Lepisosteus oculatus: one gene and its partner. The protein of the gene in region 2 purifies or fractionates together with the protein of the main gene of each other region. This does not show direct contact. Links are inferred from orthologs where the notes say so. Each region holds a gene or a part of one and is shown on either strand. Other genes may lie near its edges.

Region 1 (10,539 bases), on a different chromosome or scaffold from region 2:
GGTGGAATAATCTCCTCTCGCCCGTGACCGCTCTCTTGAAAACATGACGTCGGACCGCAGTAGTAGACGATACAGTAGGTTGCACACGGGCCACGCAGAGCAGCTCAGAAGTCCGTAAATATTAAAAACAGCAGGAGAAAGAGTACAGTACGTGTAGTAACTACAGTACTACACGTACTGAATTGTAGTACAGTACGTGTAGTTACTACAGTACTACACATACTGAATTGTAGTACAGTATGTGTAGTTACTACAGTACTATCCGTACTGAGTTGTAGTACAGTGCGTGTAGTTACCATACAGTCTGCATGGGGTGTTTCAGAGGACCAAGGTTCAGATTCCAGTGTTACGCCTTTGCATTAGCTGAGAAACTCTCCGATTCTTTCAAAAACTCGGGCCGAATTCTTTTAAAAAAAAATCCCAATTCCTAATCATATTCAACCACGCCTTGTTTTCTAACCTTCGGGTCTCATTAAGTCTCAGGGATGTTCGCAAACAGAAATACTTAGTGAATGACAAGTCCCGACGATCCCCTGTTAAGATGGGGACAAACATCTTGAGCAGGGAGAAATCCCCCGGACTGTGGGCCCGGAAGGCACAATGTGCTCTGGAAATATCTGCTCTACGGGCTCTGAGCTGGGCTTATGAAGCGGGATGCTCTAACAAGGGAAGATAAATAATTAAATTGCCAGCAGGCATGAGTGCTATCCAACCCCTAATCCCTGTGCGGCATGTTTCTAATACCAGAAAACTGGTAGTATTGATCTGATGCGTTAGCCAGACAACTCCAGGGACATGAGTGGATAATAGATCTGGCTGATCGGACAGATCGGACACCTGATCGGCAGCCCATCGGTTCGGCTGCTCATTACGAACCCACGCAGCTGCTTCTAATTAGAGCCCCGCGCACCCCCTCCCAGTGGGTCGTCCTTACGGGGTCCTTACAGTGACCGATGCTGCAGTGATAGAAACTGTCGCACGTCTTAAAGGGGCATCTTAACAATCAGTCATGGAAAGGTACCGCATGAAGCCTCCTGTTCGGTGGATTCTTGGAGTGCTCCTTCTCGGCTGATGTTGTTTTTGGGCTCCAAGGCCGACTCAAACCATCTCTGACTTGTGCCGCCTGTCGATTGAACCTCTTGCTCCTTTGCTCTATGGAGTGGTGGTCTCGGAAGTTTCAGGGTGCAGGTGGGCAACTGGCAGTGGGCTGGAGCGGCTGACATCATCCTGAGCAGTCAGTGTCTCCAGGCAGAAACCGCTTGAAGTGAGAGGTGGGGGACACATATTACAGTCGCACAGCATTCTGAAGCCCGCAGGTGTCACTGGCTTCCTTCCTCCCTTCCTTCCACTTGACCCTTGAATAATCCTTTCAAAGTGGCCCAAGCAGAGACACAGAAATTAAACGACCCAACGTAACACTGGATTTCAAACATTACTGCTAAGAAACTGAAATTTCGGTCCATTTAAATATGCTAATTCCATATCGTGTTCAACGGTCTTACTTTTCTCTTTGCTTTGGTTAATATCTCGTGGAAATGATTTACAGAAACACGGAGGCGAAAAGAAACACTCCTCGTGTGATCCATGAATAGAAATCAGGTTCACAACAAACAGCCAAATGCCCTTTCCTGTCAGCGCAGGGGGGGAGACCTCACTGCACGAGGGAGCTGTTGGGAGGTGTTCTGCGCTCTGACAGCAGGTCTGCCTCGAGGGTCAGATCATCTTCACAGCGCTTAAAGCTCCTGAGAAATTGCATTCCTGTTAATTTGGAATCAAAGTAATTGCATGCCAACGCCTGTCATCCCCAGTACTCCCATCACCCATACAGACAGAGCAGCTACAAGCTGTGTTCTCAGCGTTAATCAAGGATTACGAGACACGCATTCACAGCCACTGTGTACTAAAACCGCATTTCTGTCATGGCCTGCTCACTGCTGTATGTATGGAGGCCTCTGTATGGTTTGTGAAAGGAGAACTGGAACCCTGTGTCTTTGATTAATTCAATAGAACACTTTAACTAAGCCGTGAAACACGGAATGTTTAAGCAAAACGTTTCCATTCTCCTTAATTGAAAGTTAGCTGATTGAAAAGATTATCAAAACTCGACCACCCAACATAAAACTAAAACTCAACCCTTTCTGCTAAGAACTGTCATGTAGGTCCATTTAAATATGCTAATTCCATATAACACTCAACGGTATTACATGGAGTCTGGTAGCACTTAAGAATACAATCAGGTTAGAAGCAAGAGGCAGGCCACTGGACTCGGCATGTTAATTTGGCTGCCAGTCGCTAATCTGATACTTCCCGGTACCTCGGTTTTGAAGAGACATCAGTGGTTTGTCAGAGTAAATGATTAAACTGAGCGCTTTGTCCTCAGAATGTCTTGACGCTCAGGAAACATCTCAAACCAAGCCGATGTCACATGCCCTCCTCTTGCTGCTCGGACGGATTGAACAGTGGTCTGGTGCATTTGCAGCAGGGTAGAACTATTGGGTGCTGACCCTTGACCTTTGACCACCCACCCACCCACCTCTGACCTTTGACCTCTTGCTCGTTTTTGCCGGCAGGGATGACGTGCCAGGCGCGCAGCTCCTACCTGGACTCGGAGGTCATGTGGGGTCAGCGCTTCATGCCGGTGCTGACCCTTGAGGAGGGCTTCTACGAGGTGGACTATGACACCTTCCACAACACCTACGACACCCCCACCCCCTCCTGCTCGGCCAAGGAGCTGGCAGAGCTGGCCAAGAAGGGGGAGGCCATCCCCCTGCCCCCGGCCGACCCCCCCAAGCTGGCCACTGGGCCGGGCAGGGACACGGAGCTGCCGGAGGGACCGGGGACGAGGGCCGGGGAAGAGGAAGAGGGAGGCGGAGGAGAGGAGGAGGAGGTGTTCAGGAGGGACTCGGAGGAGGGGAGAGGGGAGGCGCAAAATGTCACCAACGGGGATGTCAACAAAATGGAGAATGGAGAGTAACCCCCCCCCCCCCCCCCGCCCCCTCCCCCAGCAAAAAATAAAATAAGCCCCCATATGCCCCTTTCCGTAAAGCAGAACCACACTGCAGGTACTATAGCAGCTGCAGAACTTGCTTCTGAGACGACTGTGTCCTTCTTTTATTTCTCCTTTGCCTTAAGGTTTGAGCGTGACGCACGTTCACCCTTTCGCAAAATCCATTCCTGTCCGTGTCCGCGCCCAGCTCCCGGAAGTCCGTCGGATGGCATGTCCTCCTCTGCAAAGGGGATCTGTATCAAAATCTCAAAAAAGCTCAATAGATTTGGCGTCTACATCTTTGTGCAATTTTTTTTCATGTTCTCAGTGCTTTTTTGTTCGCGGGTCATTTATCAAGTCAAAAGCATGCGTATCTCAGGCCTTCAGCCAAAGGGTTTGCAGCCAGAGCCAGGTGACATCACTTTGTGTCTGGTCTCCTGCCCCACTGACTCCAGCAGATGGCTGGCGTTTCTGTTACAGATGCCCTTTCGCCTGCAGGCTCCCGCAGGACGCCGAGCTCTGGGCGGACCACGGTCAGTAATGTCTCAGCCAATCGCGTGCCTCCACATGGGGAATCTTGATCCTGATTGGTCAGCACTTCAGCCAATCCTATCACCAGTACTTGTCAGACTCCTGTGGGTTCTCAGTGACATCAGCAAGCAAAGTGCTCCAATCAGTACTGGCTCTCCCGTAAGGCACTATGGAGCTTGTGATGTGTCCAAAGACAATAGAAAAATATTTGGCAATTCCAAATTGAATACTTGAATCACAAAGGAACAGCCGGTTCACTTCTGATAGCAGCTTTTTTAGCAGGAATAAACGTATGTTGAAAGCACATCTGTTCAATCCTTATGCATATAACTGGTCCAATTAAGTCACAAGAGAGCTCAGATGGACCGCTAACCAGAAGACCTGCTGGGAAACATCTGTCAAGGGATTCAGCTGAACGGTGAGTGGAAACAGAATTTGGAAGCCAACACAGACGTGTGTGCTTTATCATAAAGGAGAGAGCCTCCTGAAAATTGCTGTCTTTCACTGTGCCTCCACCAGAGACTTCAGAAAAGAGATTAAGTCCTCCCACATCTGCAAAGTGTCAATGAATGAAAAACTAGGCTGGCTGCTTATAGTTATGGTTAATGATTCAGTCACAAGACTATGTGATGAAGGGATTGTGACAGAAACAAGTGCATCAACTATTCCGTGCTGGATCGCTAGATATTTTTTTTCTTTCTGACACAATCTCTATACAATAGCATCTTACCCCAGCTAAAAGTGCCACCTTGTTTATTGGTCATTTGTTCCTGTTAAGCTCTGCCAATACAACTCCATGGTACTAAGTGCCACTGACCACTTACACAGATCATCGCCCCTTTTCTCCGAAGACGCTATCAACACATCTACTGGGTGAGCTGAAACAGCAGCTGTAATATATAAGGTTTTAAGGGGGCTGCTGGTTCAAGACCTCCACGCTGGGCTGTGTGCCCCTGATGCACTGACGCAGTAACCGATCCCTCTAGCGCCTCAGTGTTTTGGATGAAAGCTGAAAGCGACGAGCCCGCCTTGGTCAGCCCCTTGTCCTCTGCCGGTCACTCCGGCTGAAATCATCGTTAACCGGTTGACTTTCAGGGTGCACTCCTGGCTCTGCAATCGGCCATGCCGCGCCCTGAGCAGGAAAGCCGCTGTGCGGGGACTGAGCGCGGAAGAGCCTGTTCCTGGAATCCGCCCTCCGGTGACCAACGATCCGGCCTTCGTCTGCGATCGTCTGAACCCCGGAGACGGGCCTGGACTGCAGGATCGAGCGGGCCTGTTTTAGGAGGCCCTGAGAAGGATGGTTTCATGTTAAGCAGACGGTGCAGCTTCGTGTTTGTACTGGACAGGGCTAAATATCTGTCACCTCTTTAGCAGAATCTACTCTTTGTGCCACTAAACCTACAGTAATCTCAATCCATGATGGGGCTTCAGCAAACAAAACTTATTTCTGCTGTGCCATATTACATTGTCATAAAGCAGTGTCTTTTCTAACAGATTCATGGAGCATATTATTATTATTATTATTATTATTATTATTATTATTGTAGTGCTGTGTTTTAAGTGTTATCCAACAAAGCTCAAGCACAATTCTATTAATCAGGTCTGTAAATAAAAGTATTATTGCTGAAAATGGGTTCCTCCGTGCTGCGATCACCTTGTTCTGGCTGCCTTGATGAAGCTCGGTGTCCCTCACTGCCCTCGTTCGTATCACTGCTTTAATGTGTTTAATGTTCTTCGAGAGAACTTTGAAATATCAGTCTAGTCGAACTGTAAAAATAAACAGTTCTGAGCCACCCTCCCCCCCCGTCCACTAGAGGGCGACCCAACTGCATTTCAAAACACCTAAAACATCATAGGAGAATACTTTTATAATCACATCGCCATCATAAAGAAACTGATAACGATACACAAGAAGTAACCATTTCGAAACTGTAAAAAAGGAGTATAGCATTTAACAATTCATAAACCTATCCCACTGAACAAGATCCTGTTCAGTTAACACTTAGGACTCACTGAGCTTGCGCAGATCTTTGAGGCGGCACAGTAATTTAACAGCACAAAGTCTCATTTGAAATCCATGGTGGAGCTTTTTTAAAAGGTAAAGCGTACTAGGCTTACGTGTAAGCTTCAACTAGAGTAAGACTGAATAAGTTCCGGCCACAATAAGATGTTTTAAGTGCACGGAACAAAAAAAGTTGAAGATGGTTTCAATGGGTTTCAAGTACAGGTTTCGAAGACAAAAAATTCCGAAAAATAACAAGTAATAGGTTTATTCCATGCTGAAAAAAAGAAGAAAGAGAACACAACGTTTCGGCCGTGGAGCCTTCTTCAGGTGTCGTATTTCCAGTTGTATTTCCAAATATACCAAAATACCAAAAGCTGTATTTCCAGTTCCCGAAACACAGCTTTGTGGGGGACCCGAGGTGGAGAGCGGCCTGCAGTGTGTGTCCTCCGAGGTAGGGGGCGCTGTGGGCGACGCCGGCGAGAGGAAGCGCTCGGACGCGCGGGCTTGGAACTTCCGCCGCCGGCCCATGTGGTGCGGACGCAGCACGTGTGAGCAGGAGAGAGAGAGACAGCGAGCGCCCGAGTGCGGAGGACGGAGAGCGGAGCGGCGACACAACTCATCCGATTTCTGCGCCCAGGTCGTTGCAGCGATACATCCCGAGACGCGAACATGAAGCCAGGTAAGCAGATCCGCGATCCTCTGACGCGTTAAAAGGGGGAAAAAAAAAACGACCCGGGAGGTAAAAACACGGAGCTCCGCCGCTCCTGTCCTCCGAGTCTCACCGGGGCCGGAGACAAATCACCCTCCGAAAACAAAACGTGATAATAAAAGGCAAAAATGCCTTCAAGCGCCGTAAAGACCACCCGCTCCGAGTTTGGTGTCTGCCTTGTTCGGAGGCTCCTATTTTCTTAAGTCGCATTTCGAAGTTAAAGCCAGCTGGTTCGTGCAGAAGAGGAGAGTTTCTCGGTGGCGGACGGGGGGTCGTGGCCTGCGCACGCCGGAGGTTTAGGATCTGTTTTAGGCTCATTTTAGTAACTTCCAGACGATTACTTGACGCGGCGTGCACGATTTAGACGGAATTTCAACAGTTCCCCGCTGTTCCTGTTGCCGTGAGCAGCTGGGACGCTAGTTAATGTGTTTGTATTGGGCGCAGCGTGCTGGACTAGTTCGTCGCTCAGTTTGGATCCAGCGTTAACTGATGTTTTGGCTTGGATTGCTGTCGGCCCTGTAGCTCTCTCCTGCTCGTGATTTGAGTTCTGGCGTGAATTTCGGAAGGAAGCGGGTGTCTTTTGGCGTTAAGCGAAGCCAAATGCCAAAAAAACAACAACAACAACAACACAACGATTGCGATGGCCGTTTTCGTGCGAGGGGATCGTTTTCAGTGCCGCGGCCATGTGCTTGGTGTGGGGAGACGTGGGGTCCTTGTGAGAGCGCACAGACCGATTCCTTGCATGCTCGAACTTTTAGAAAAACGTCCGATTTAAACGTGCGCTTCCTAGCGATGTTCCAAAGTCTGTAAAACGAAAAGCGTCTTCTAGCGCTAATTGTGATCGATTACGGATCGGAGAGGATCTCCCGGGCTCGGGTCAGTGTCTCGCAGTTGAAAAGTAAGTAAGGGAAGTAAGAGGAGCCCCTTTAGTCCGTCAGCTTAACAGCTAATTGAACCCAGGACCTTCTTCAGCTGCTTTTAATCGGCTTCAGCGACGTGGCTCGGCGGCTTGTTCCACACCCCTACCTCCCTCCGTGTAAAGAAAAGCGTCCGGTTCTCGCTTTTTAAATGCCCTTTCATGTCGGGTTCATTGGCCCCACGTGGTACATGTTTCGCAGCTGCTGACGGTGATGTTGACACTGGCGTGTCTGTCGAGGGCGAGGCGCACGTGTGCCGGTTTAGTCGGGGTGTTTTACCGCTTCGGTCGGGGTGCCGCACCCGCACAGGACAGCAGCTGCACTGTCTCTACCTGGGACTCGGACCCGCAGCCTGTGCGAGTCAGCCGATGAGTCCGGTGGCCTGGCCGCTGCCCGTTTTAAACTATTGGAACTCGCGCTTTGCAGACCGTTACAGTGTCCAGTCAAGGAGCGTGTCGGCGGTCTGGTCCTGTGTCTAGAAGACAAGTTAGTGAGACAGGAGAAGCTGCCGTCCTGCAGTGTGGTTTGTGGGGGGGTGGGGGAGGACTTGTGCAGCTGCACACTTTGGTGTTGCAGTGCTTCCCTACATCGCTCCCAGGGGTGTCCAGCCCTGGTCCCGGGCAGCTGGAGTGTCTGAGGGTGTTCTTCCCCACTGAGCTCTTGAGGAGCTGAGCCGGCTGAGTGCTGATTTAACTGGGCCAATTGCACAGCCTCTCCTGGCTCTCCAGTCGATACTGCCTTTAAGAGACCTGGAGGGCCAGTCAGTGTGTCTGCAGGCCCTCTAGGAGCAGGACTGGACAGCCCTGCGGACGCACTGACCGGCTCCTCCAGGAGCAGGACTGGACAGCCCTGCGGACGCACTGACCGGCTCTCCGGGAGCAGGACTGGACAGCCCTGCAGACACACTGACCGGCTCTCCAGGAGCAGGACTGGACAGCCCTGCAGACACACTGACCGGCTCTCCAGGAGCAGGACTGGACAGCCCTGCAGACACACTGACCGGCTCTCCAGGAGCAGGACTGGACAGCCCTGCAGACACACTGACCGGCTCTCCAGGAGCAGGACTGGACAGCCCTGCGGACGCACTGACCGGCCCTGCACACGCACTGACTGGACAGCCCTGCGGACGCACTTGGACAGGCCCTGCGCTGTGTGGTTCTCTCGGGCGGCTCTACGATGGGGCGAGTAACCCCCTCTCCTGTGGTTCTCTCCCGGCAGGCTTCAGTCCGAGAGGCGGGAGGGGAGGATTCGGAGACCGAGGAGGAGGAGGAGGATTCGGAGACCGAGGAGGAGGAGGATTCGGAGGCCGCGGACGAGGCGGGTTCGGGGACCGAGGCGGTGGCAGGGGGCGTGGCGGCTTCAGAGGCGGCCGAGGTAAGTGTCTCTGACCCGGGGGGGGTGGGCACACCGCTCGAGTGTCCAGTTAGCGGGGGGCTCGTCCCCTCCAGGATCACAAGGACGGGGACCTCAGGGCGATGAAGAGGCCACTGGGGGGGTGAGATAGTTGGTGCTGCAGTAACATCCCTCCCTGACGCGCCCCAGCGGCTGCCCCGGGACGTTTTGAAAGAGCCCTGCTACACGGGCCTCTGACGGGAATAGTGTGGTTTAGGCAGGACGTTTCTCTGGGACCCCCAGAAAGGCCTTTCGGTTGGTTGTCAGTTTGTCGTTTCCGTGTCCCAGCATCCTCGGCAACAGTGGTTCTCGAACCGAGCGTCTCCTGGTCTGTTGTTCCCACCGAGCCCTTCGTTAAGCTGATTGATTCAGAGAGCGGCCCAGACCGAGCCGGAGGGCGGTCGAGCTCTGTCTGGTCAACCAGGGGCCGGCGTTGGTGAAGGACACACCGGGCAGGAAGGTCGTGGGGGGCAGGAGAAGAGGTTCAAGCAGGGAAGCGGGAAAGGAAAAAAATTCAAGGGGCTGTCGGGTGGGAGGAGGAGCCGGACGCCGGGCTCCGGGAATTGGGGCGTGCCGGGCTCCTCCGGGGCGGGTGCGGTGTTCTGGGGGTTCGGCCCCAGCGCCGCCGGAGGTCTCACTGGGTTTTCTCTCGGCAGGTGGGGGGTTCAGGTCTCCCGGCGGCGAGGGGGGATTCCGGGGGGGCCGCGGGGGCACCCCTCGGGGCCGAGGAGGAAGAGGGGGCCGCGGCGGCGGCGGCGGCTTCCGGGGCGGCAAGAAGGTGACGGTGGAGCCCCACAGACACGAAGGTAGGGTCTCCCCGAACCGGTGGCACCGCTCACTGCGAAATAACAGCAGCTGAATTTCAGGCTGGGCAGCATGGTGGACAGCAGTTAGCACTGCCAGTGAACAGACCAGCTCTAGTGATCTGAAGTACGTCTGCCAGCGATCGCAGTGTCTTTGAGGTATACGATTAAAATACAGTAAGTTCTGCGGCCTGCTGACTTCTCAACGAACCGCCCAGTGCTTTTTAGCAGCCCCGGTCAGGTCGTGCACGGATGAATACGTCATGTAGAAGATGGACTTGTATGTGCACGCAGCGCCGGGCCCTGGGTTCAGTCCTGGGGTGCCGTCTGCATGGAGTTTCCTCCCGCAGTCTGAAGGCGTATTGATGGGTTCGTTGGCTCCTGTGCCCCTCAGGCGTGTTCATCTGCCGCGGGAAGGAGGACGCCCTGGTGACGAAGAACATGGTGGTGGGGGAGTCCGTCTACGGGGAGAAGAGGATCAATGTGGAGGTGGGTCGCCCGGGCACTGTCCTCCCCGGCCCCGCCCCCGTCTGTGGTTGCCTGGGCTCTGTCCTCCCTGGCCCCGCCCCCGTCTGTGGTCGCCCGGGCGCTGTCCTCCCTGGCCCCGCCCCCGTCTGTGGTCGCCCGGGCGCTGTCCGCCCAGGCCCTGCCCCCGTCTGTGGTCGCCCGGGTGCTGTCCACCCCCGGCCCCGCCCCCGTCTGTGGTTGCCCGGGCGCTGTCCACCCTGGCCCCGCCCCCGTCTGTGGTCTCCCAGGTGCTGTCCAGAGTTGCGCCCTCGGGTGTTGTTGATGAAGACGGGTCTGCAGCAGGAGCCCGGGGTGGTGACTGGGCAGCCCTGCTCTGGGCCCTGGGCTGGTGGGACTGGCGGCTGGATCCTCACGGCCCGTTGGGGTTCTCTTCGCAGGAGGGCGAGACGAAGATCGAGTACAGGGCATGGAACCCCTTCCGCTCGAAGCTGGCGGCCGCCATCCTGGGAGGCGTGGACCAGATTCACATCCGACCCGGGGCCAAAGTCATGTACCTGGGCGCGGCCTCGGGCACCACCGTCTCCCACGTCTCGGACATCGTCGGGCCGGTCAGTGACGCCACATACTGGCTTATCTTGGCCACAGGAGTGCTTACAAATGAGAGTGGCCCACTTAACTGTTTCAGCCTATCCAGCTAGCCAGCAGTCTAGCTCCGCAAGATGGCTGGG
Region 2 (9,763 bases):
GGACTGGATGATCATGTTGTCGGCCTTGTTGACGTTGAACTTGACCTTGGCCCGCGAGTAGCTGTGGCCCAGGCCCAGCTGGGCCTTGGAGGCGGACTGGGCGGTCAGACCCTTGACCAGGGCGTGGAAGTGCAGCCGGACCCCTGGAGGCACAAGAGCCAGAAACGGCGGCCGTGGGGCCATGAGCAAGGGAGAGAGAGCAGCAAGGAGAAGGGCTGATGTGCACAGGAGGAAAGGGGTCTTATCCAGCACCGCTGACACAGCACAGCACAGCCCAGCCCGAATGTTCAGTTTTTCAGTATGAAGGCATCAGTGGGATCAGTATGATTGGAACATCACCACAAATCAGGCAGTCTACGTTCTACAGCACAGGCTACGCTGTACTGGAGCACTAGAGACCAAGCACCAAGCTTTTAAATGCTGCGTCTGCTCCTGTGAGGCTGTACGAAGATAAGACTGTCCAGGAAATCTCACCTCTGAGGATCTCGGCCACAACCCCCCCGGCCTGGCAGGACAGCCCCAGCTCCTCCTGCAGCGCTGCCCCAATCTTGGCATCCGCCACCCCCAGGACAACCTTCTTCTTCTTGCCAGCAGCCGGTAGGCTGGTCTCCAGCAGCAGCTTCAGGTCAGCGTGCACCACGCCTGCACAGGAACATGGGGGCACAGTGAGGAAACTCGCTTCTGGATAGACCAGGCAGGCACGCACACACACACAGAGGAGGCACAGTGAGGAAACGGGGGTCCCACATTAAAAAAAAAAACAGCCCATATGTTCAGCTTTGTAGTTTTGACATCACGTGGTCATCAGGGGATTGACAGATTACAGAAACATCACCACATCTGGGCACGGACTCTCCCCGCCCCTCGCCGCCTTCAAGTCTCCCTGATCACTCTCACACGGCACTCCCCGCCTCACCCTCAGAGATGGCGTTGATGTTCTCCAGTGCCGCCTGGGCCGACTTGAAAGGAGAGAAAGCCGCCAGCTTCACCACAGTGCTGAACTTCCCCAGATTCAGCACACTCTCCTCCACCTGGTGACAGAAAACACACGTGCAAACATCTCGGAATTTAAAATCGCAAGTCACACAAGCCCTGGGAACTCAGCACGCTGTACAGGGGGCTCTCAGCTGCTGGATCCTTAATTGTGAACATTAAAAGCCTGACGCCGAATACTTTAGAACACCAGGGATGCTAAAATTGACCGCAAACATTAACCTTCTACTTTAAGTGCTTTATAAATCTGAAATCCTACCCAACACCTCTGCCCCTCACACCCATGAGTCATGCAGTAAGCAGTTATGGTAAAAACCACAAGCAACATTTTCTGCACAGAACAAGGGTATGTGTCCGACCACAGGGCAGAGCTGCACTGCAGTGGTCTCTAGCCCATGGATAATGACAGTCTCAGGCTACATGTGGAGGACAAACACCCTCACCCGAGTGTCATTATGATTGGGGCGGGGTCAAAGGGCAGGGCCTCACCTGGGGCAGCAGCATGCCGATCTCCTCCACCTCCTTGACGGCGAACAGCGCGTACCCCGCCGCATGTTCGAACAGCACGTGTAGCAGCACCTGCGGAGAGAGGGCCGGGGGTGAGGCCACACGCCACGGGCCAGCAGGCAGCAGCAGCAGCACCGGTGTCCCGGCTCCGTCCGAGCTCCTGACATCTCCCTACACTCGCTGGAACAAGCAGGTCTGGCGCCCCCTTCTGACCCGCCAGCGCATCTCCCAGCTGGGCTGCGAACCTCAGTGTGAATCACCTCCCCTCTATATTCAGACGCACCCTGGAAATAACGAAGTGCAAGACCAGCCTGCTCCACATTACACCACGCAGCAGCGTGCCTTTAAAACCCCCGTCTCTGCTTTACTTCCCCGGTGAAGAGCTTGGAGATGAAAAGCACTGTAAGGGCAGCGACAGCCGCTGCCTATCTGTACAGGAGGGCGCGCAGAGGCCTAGACAAGCCGCAGGATTGAGCTGTAATTCATGGTGACAGATCTCAGGGGGAGTCCTCCAACACAAACTGTCGGTATTAACCGACACCTTGGTGTACTACAGAGTCAAGACACGATCCACATCAAAAGAGACCGGGACAGAAAGCGGAAGAACTACTGATTAACATAAGAACAAAAAACTACAAATGCGTGTTCATGCTGCGTGTTAACGGGACTCATCCCCTTCCTCGTGATATCAGAGGTACTGCAGAAAGGAAGACTATTTTGTCATTCAAGTAGGCAGCCGTGTCAGCATGCGCAGGCTGCAGAAGAACAAGGCAAAGGTTGTTCCCTTCTGAAAAGAGAAGATCGATTCACCGCGGAGCCACCAAAGAAGGCTCCACAGCCGAAACGTAACTTCTCTTTTCAGCAGCAAATAACCCTTTACTTGTTCCCATTTTGTCATTTCCCAGTAGCACCGCGGTCGCCAGAGGGCACTGCGCTTTTAGTCCAACGACAGCGAGGTTTTTCCCGTGTAAAAAAGAAAAGCGCGAACTATTTCATTCTGTAAGGCCTCTCTCTCATGGCCGCACCGCGCCGGAACCACGTGGGTCCGGCATCACGGCGTGCTCAACCCCCGCACTCAGACCCCGGGAAAGAGGCTTGAATTCTGCCTGTCAGGATCGTACACCGCCGAGAGACGCCATGAAAACACTCCTCGGTTCATTCGGTTTTTTTTGGGGGGGGGAAGAGAGGAATTGTACCAGAAACTCGCCCCTGGAGGCGCTTCAGAGGAAACCGCTCGGGTCCGCGTCGCCACGTGCGCGCCCCGCTCCCCCCCACCACGTGGCGACGGGACGGAGGCCCGCGCCAGAACCCCCCCGCAACAAGCGCCTCGTGTTGCGTACCCCAGGTCCTTCTCCAGCCCTGACGGGCCCAGGATGGTGCAGCAGCAGCCCCGCCACCGCCGCTCCCGAGCGAGAGGGCAACACGTGGGCCGGCGCCAGCTCCGAGCACGAGCCGGGCTCCAGAGCGCGCGCGGTGCAGGGGTTTTAACTGCGGCTCTTTCCCAGCACTGTGACTTCCCCGGCCCGTGCCCCGCGTCAGATATCGTTTTCTGTTCCTGGGGCCTAGCTGCAGCCCCGAGCAGCTGTGAGCTAGCATGCAACTAACCGAAGATCTGCAGAAATCTGATAAAAAATATTGATTTTTTCATCCATATGTAACTTCCCACAGATACAGCTATTTCATACTACTTATTACACCGCTACCGAGTACTGCTTTGCAACAGCAACACCCTGACTGGGGCCACTGTTCCAGACTGCGTGTGACCCGCATCTCCGCCGGCTACGTCTAAAGAGCCAGAAAACGTATTTTCCGTCAGTTCCTTCGCACAAGCAATACCTCCACTGTATTGCCTCACTGAAAAGCACCTGCTGACTCGGTCTGCGCAGTGAAGTTATTTTCTTCCCCACACGTGCAGTCTTACCATTGCTGTTCCCTCGGCGCAGCTCCGTCCTCTCGTGCTGCCTGTTCTCCTTCCCAAGGTGCTCTGCGCGCCGCCCCACCTCGCTTTCGTGCCCGAGCCCGCCCCCTGGCTCTTCGAAGTATCGCGAGAACAAGAGCTGGGGGAGGGGAGGGTGGAGAGATGGGTTTCCATGGCGCCATCTGCTGTACGTTTACCGTCACATCCTTTCGCCCTGACTGAAGAGCGAGATTTTGGACAGATCCTATGCTAAAAAATTGAATATATGCAACACTAAAAAAAAACCACGCACCTGGTTGAAATTCCACCAGGACGCCGGTCTCTTTCTGCAGTCTTAATTCTGAAAGACAACTGAAAGTCACACACACAGCAAAGCATACAGATGCACAAAACGTATTTCCCTGCAGCTCCAATTCGTGTGTTGATTGGTGTGTTTGTAGACTGCCTACTGCCTATAATAATAATAATAATAATAATAATAATAATAATAATAATAAATAAAGTAATTGCTAGCTCTCAGCACAGGGGCTCAATGCCCACCCTGGGGTGCTGTCTGTCTGGGGTTCATATGTTCTCCTCGTGTTCATGTGGGGCTTCCTCCAGGTGCTCTGGTTTCCTTCCACTGTCCAAAGCCATGCTGGCAGGTGACTGGACGTCCAGGACACTTGTCCGCGGTGTGTGTGGGCGTGAGCCTGGACTCGTGGCTGACGGCGTGCGGGAGTGAGTCCCCGCTGCAGACACAGCTGTCACCCCTCGCGTGACAAACTCTGCCCCCATTACCCCCTGCCTGGGAGCAGGAGCTGTGACGCACTGGCGTTTATCCAGGGGAGGGCGAGCCGTGTGCTGTCTGATCACTTCACGCCTGGGAAACAGGATAAGATCTGATCTGATGAGCCTCTGTGTGGCTTGATTGTTCCTCGCAATCCCACGGCTTTCTAGACGAATGCAATCACTGCATGTTCTGTTTCATTGGGTAAACACCTGGCCCGCTGGCTGGGGGCACCCACCCCTGTCCTCACAGGCCACTGTCCCGCAGGTTAGAGAGACCCTCAAACCCAACTTCTTAAGGACAAAGAGAGGCTCCAGCACCTCTAATTAAGCAATTAATGAGTTCAATTTGGTCATTTTTATTTATTTATTTTATTTTATATTTATTTTTTATTACTGTACGTATTCTAATTTTTTGTCTATCCTGATGTCTGTTCGTTTTGCTTGTTTTGGGCTGCTGTAACACATCAATTTCCCTTCGGGATCAATAAAGTCTTATCTGTCTCTTAAGATGTCAAGGGGCAGGAAAACAAGAACTCTTCCGGCCCTGAAGTACTGCAGCTATGCAGCCCTGCCTACACCTGAAGAAGGCTCCACGGCTGAAACGTTGGGCTTTTCTTTCTTTTCTTTTCAGCGGGGAATAAACCTTTACTTGTTCCTTTGCAGCCTATACCCGCTGACGCAGGGAGCCACCTGAACTACTTCAACCTAAACCTGCTGCGACCCACTATGCCCTCCTCCAAATCTTTTTCTAGATCTCTTCGTCATTCCTTCTCTTCCTCCCTGGGCCTGGCCCTGGGCCCTCTCTTACTAAACCAGCTTGCTCACACCCGAAGAAGGCTCCACGGCCGAAACGTTGTGTTTTCTTTCTTCTCTGTTCGGCAGGGAAAAAACGTTTACTCGTTCATTAAGAGTCTGCTCTGAACAGCTCCCACCAGGTGATAGATTTAAGCATGAACAGACACGGGCGGTCATTTCTCTTCTGGGGAGGTCCACTCGGTTACTTTTCAGGCGGCAGACGTGAATCAGGGAAGTTGTGAAATTTGCACAGGTTGATACCGGGTATTTGAATGGGAGTAAAATTGTGCACAGGGTTAAGAACATTGGGACATAAAACAGATTACAAATGAGAGGAGCTGTTCACCATTCACTTGGTGGTAGGTAATTGACCCAAGGGTCTCAGTCAGTTGTTTCCAGAAAGAAGCAAGGCGTCCGCTTCAACCACATGGCTGGGTAGCTTGGTCCACACTCCCACAATCCCCTGCTGACTGAGCTAGCTAAATAGCATTTCGTTATACCATACACCTGTGTATGAGCAGAATGAAAATAAACTTTAAATTGATGCTAGGTGTAATACCATTAATCTCTTTCAAGATTTGAGAGCAAATGTATAAAACTGTCCCAGTTAGAGAATTTATATCACAACAGGAAAGACACCTGTGCACAGAGCAGCAGCAGCTCAGCTGTTTACAGTGTCTGTCTGTTAGGAGCACCAGTGAACAGCTGCAGTATTACAGCACTACATGTTTACTCGCACAGGGCTGTAAGCACTGATTCATGAACTCATATCTTTCGGTGTAAGTTTAAAACATTCCATCCTGTCCCCTATCTGGTAACATCACTCTACCTTCTTGTCTTAAAAGTGCATTATACTTTGCTCAAAGAACAAATATATTCAGTTTTTTGGAACTATAGTCAACAGTCCAACAAGCATTACTGCCCTCTAACCCAGGGGCCTCAGACTCAGTTCCTGATGAATGTAGTGTCTTCCGGATTTTGTTCCCCTCACGGTCTCAGTTACGAAGCTGGTCTAAATACCTAATTAGCCGGATAATTGCTAAGAATTCTGACGAGGCTGGGGTGAATTTCAGGCGACTGCCATTTGAACGAAGTGGAAAGTTTTGTGAATGACGTTCAGAAAAACCATTGTCCAGTATATGTCATTCAGAAAAGAATGAGTTTACTCTCATTTGACTGCTCATAATGGAACCATACCTCACCCTAACCCTGCAGAAGACCCCGCTTTGAGATCTGTAATCGAAAAGCACTTTGACCCAAGACACTTCAAACAACAGCAGCCAGTCCCTGGAATAATGTGTACAGAGCGAACAGAAACTATCCCCTTGGTAACGGAGGGTGTTTCCGGTTGTGTGATTAAATCCGTCCTGCTCGACTCCTACACTTCTCACTGTTGTTGCGACTTTTCTTCTCTCTTTTGCCTTCGGTGTTAAACATTGGCCAGCTCGTCAGCCCCCAGAGTTCCCCTCTGATTTCATGTGGATCAATAAAAGCTTATTAGAGTGGTCACTACAAAATGAATCCTTACAGCTGCGATAGAGCAGAGAGCAAGTTACCAGTCAGACACACACGGGTATTTATATGGTCTGCTGTTTGCGCTGTTCCAAAGTCAAATAAATTAATGTTCAGTTTGGGGGAAAACGCGCAAGAAAGCTGGAAAAGAACAGAAAATGCCGTTCCACGCTCCTGGAAACTGCATTGTGGTCACCACTGGCAAATCATCGAGTTTGAATTTCAACGTGTAGCAAGCAGGGGGTATTGAAATAAATACACAGAACAAACACACAAAAAAAAAACGACGCGGCGGTACTGCAATGAGTTCAGATCAAAAAGGTGCGGTTGCTTTCTCGCTTTTCTCCCGTTTAGTGTGCATCTTTTCCTGGAGGATATGTGGGATGCGGAACAGTCTTGCTGGATCAGAGGAGGAGCGCGGACTGACTTCTCTACGGGACGTGACTTTTTACATAGTTTCGCCATCGCTGTCATCGCCCGTGTTTTCTCAAACCCCTCTTCCGGAGCTCCCGTCAGCATATAGCGGCACGGTTAAAATGTCATAAACCTGGACAGCTTATACAGGTTTAAGAAGGCGTGCCCGGAAGAGCTTTGTGTTCACCGGTTGGGTCGGCGAGGAGGTGAGACGCGATCACTTACGTTTGGAGACTCTCCAGAGACAAGATCCCCCTGTAAAGGTGTGTAATCAAGGTCTTGTCTCGCCCCTCATGTTCTCTGTGTTTTAAAACGGACCTGTGACGTGAAACAAAATAAATCAGACGCGATACAAATGTAAGTTTTATTACAGGAGGCGTTCTGTTGAATTCCTAATTAATACAGGGGTTAACATGTATTGCTGGGTTAGAGATTTAGACTGCTTCCCTCGACACTCTGCGACATTATATCAGATGTAATAACTGGTTTGAGGAACATTAGGGACCACCTATACCTCCTACCTGGATACGGACTAGTTACCAGGCTCATGTGTGCTTTTCCTGGGCTTACTGTACGTGGGGTGTGGTAAGAAACCGCAGAAATCTCTCCTCCGTGAACACGAAACAAATCTTTATTTTTAAACGCAGTCAGCAGCGACATAAATGGCAGGACAGGGGGTGGCAAAGCGTACAGTTCAACGAAGTTCAAAGCGTACAACTGGAGATGCCCCTCAGACACGTAGGCGTGGGTAGTCCAGGGTTCAGTTTGACTGAAGCACGGTACAGAGCGCTTCAACAGCTGATGGAGAGAGGAAGGTGTTTTCTAAATCAAAGAGCTGTCAATTAACTCATGCCAAGGAAGCCTTCATCTAGTATTTAGAGTGGCCCCACACGCCCCTCCATCATAGAGGTGAGACAGACGAACCCCGGACCGCGAGTGTTAAGGGGGCGAGGGGGGTCTGCTCCCGGTAATTGACAGTCAGTCTGTGTGACACAGCGCCGCCTGCTGGCCGGAGATGCCACTGTTCCGTGGGCCTCAGTGGCAGAGGGAGAAGGCCGAGAAAGGCCGGAGCAGAGGGCAGGTGCGCACCCTGGTCAGGCTGTGCCTCGTCAGCCTGGCGGACAACATGAGGGAGCTGTGGGCCCGGGACTACGCCGAGAACTACATGGACAGCTACAGCTTCCGCTACGTCATGGGCCCCTTCAGCCTGCTGCGTGAGCGCCCCCTGCCTGTCCGACAGCCTGCGGCCAGCTTCTCCTGCCTGCCCTGTCTTTCCCCGATCACGCTGTCGGCTCTGTATCTGGCATTGTGGGAGGGGGTGACTGTCCGGCTCTGGGTCTCTGCCTGTCCACCTCTGGCCCTGTTTCTCTCACGCGGTCTGACTGCGCGGCAGCGTTCCTGTCCTCTCCTGCTTCTCTCTGCCCTCTTCCTCACTCTCCCTGCGTCCTGCTGCTCGGCTCGGTCTCTCTCGTTGCAAACTTGTGTTCCCGTAATGTCTCGCCGAACTCCCCCTCCCTCTCCCGCGACGTCTCGCTGCCTCATTCGCGCATGCGTGACGCATTGACACCCCTCTCTCACTCCCGACCTGTGTGTTTTCAGCGGGGGAGCTGGTGGAGGAGCTCCTGGCGGTGGTGTGCGCCTCTCGCCGAGCGTCCCGAGCCGCGCTCCACCTCCTCCTGGTGCCGCAGCTGCGGCGGCTCTGCCTGCGGCCCTGCAGCGGCCTGGTGACTGCCCCCTTGTGCCAGCTCATTGCACTGCGCTGCCAGGTCAGTCTCACCCCCCACGCACTGCGATACCAGAGGCTCGGTGATCCGGGCGGAAAGATTCTGCTGGCAGACGTTAGTGAACCAGCAGGAGGTACTTTTTCCCTTCCTGTGCAGAAATTCCCAAGCTGAGTTCCCAGCGGAGTTCAGGTGCTTTTCACTGTGGGAGCGTCTGCTGCTGGATGAGGAATGAAACTGAGATTTTGTCCACAGCTGGGGACTGACATCTCTCTGTACCTGCCGCAACAGTGTGTTTAGCCCAAGATTGTGGTGGTAGGAAAAACAAAACAGGATATAAGGTGGTCGCTTACGGCCACACGTCTCGTCTCGTCTGATCTCAGAAGCTAAGCAGGGTCGGGCCTGGTCAGTACTTGGATGGGAGACCGCCTGGGAATACCAGGTGCTGTAAGCTTTTAGGGGCAGAGTGGTGGCACTGTGGCTTGGAAGGTTGCCGGTTCAAATCCCGCGGCTGGCAGAGGAATCCTACTCCGTTGGGCCCCCGAGCAAGGCCCTTCACCCCAGCTGCCCCAGGGGCGCTGTATAAACGGCTGACCCTACGCTCTGACCCCCAGCTTCTCTCCCTGTCTGTGCGTCTCACGGAGAGCAGGCTGGGGTCTGCGAAAAGACAAATTCCTAATGTGAGAAGCTGTATCAATCAAGTGATCGTATCTTGTCTTATCTTAGAAATTGGGTTTGGCTCTTGTTTAGGCTCTTTGCTCTCCTGCCCCAGGAGCTGCTGGCCCTGGACCTGTCCGGCTGCCAGCGCGTGCCGCCCGCCGTGCTGGCGCAGCTGGCCGCCAGTCTCCGCCGCCTGCGCAGCCTGGTCCTGTCGGGGGGCCAGTGCGACGGGGACGTCGTGGCGGCCGTGGCGGAGGGCTGCCCGGTGTTGCAGCACCTGGACGTGTCCTGCTGCAGCGGTCTGCCCCCCTGGGCCCTGCTGCACCTGGCCTACCTGCCCAGCAGGAGGCGCTGCACAGACCATCCGCTGCGCAGCCTCCTAGCCACGGACATCGGGCTGGGGGCGGGCGAGAGGGAGAGCGTGGGCAGTGCGGCCTTCCTCCTGCTGGGCCTGCCCCGGCTGGAGCGGCTC

The links.
Region 1: the proteins of nop56 (region 2) and fbl purify together in Homo sapiens (affinity purification with mass spectrometry; 6 studies listed by BioGRID and IntAct, counting the BioPlex papers as one, with this or other methods). This does not show direct contact. The link is inferred for Lepisosteus oculatus from reciprocal best matches to the Homo sapiens genes NOP56 and FBL.

What each region holds. Positions count from the first base shown.
Region 1 is NC_090722.1:9,614,624-9,625,162, forward strand, and holds the start of fbl (rRNA 2'-O-methyltransferase fibrillarin), read left to right. Parts: upstream 1-6,034; 5' UTR 6,035-6,191; coding exon 6,192-6,201; intron 6,202-8,366; coding exon 8,367-8,522; intron 8,523-9,196; coding exon 9,197-9,346; intron 9,347-9,737; coding exon 9,738-9,832; intron 9,833-10,248; coding exon 10,249-10,419; intron 10,420-10,539. Other genes in the region: kcnj21 (G protein-activated inward rectifier potassium channel 4), read left to right, coding at 2,571-2,974.
Region 2 is NC_090698.1:69,129,856-69,139,618, reverse strand, and holds the start of nop56 (nucleolar protein 56), read right to left. Parts: upstream 3,987-9,763; coding exon 3,959-3,986; intron 3,759-3,958; coding exon 3,711-3,758; intron 3,637-3,710; coding exon 3,422-3,636; intron 1,573-3,421; coding exon 1,483-1,572; intron 1,032-1,482; coding exon 917-1,031; intron 643-916; coding exon 475-642; intron 144-474; coding exon 1-143. Other genes in the region: uncharacterized protein, read left to right, coding at 7,926-8,124, 8,510-8,676, 9,404-9,763. UniProt on the Homo sapiens protein: Involved in the early to middle stages of 60S ribosomal subunit biogenesis. Required for the biogenesis of box C/D snoRNAs such U3, U8 and U14 snoRNAs. Part of the small subunit (SSU) processome, first precursor of the small eukaryotic ribosomal subunit.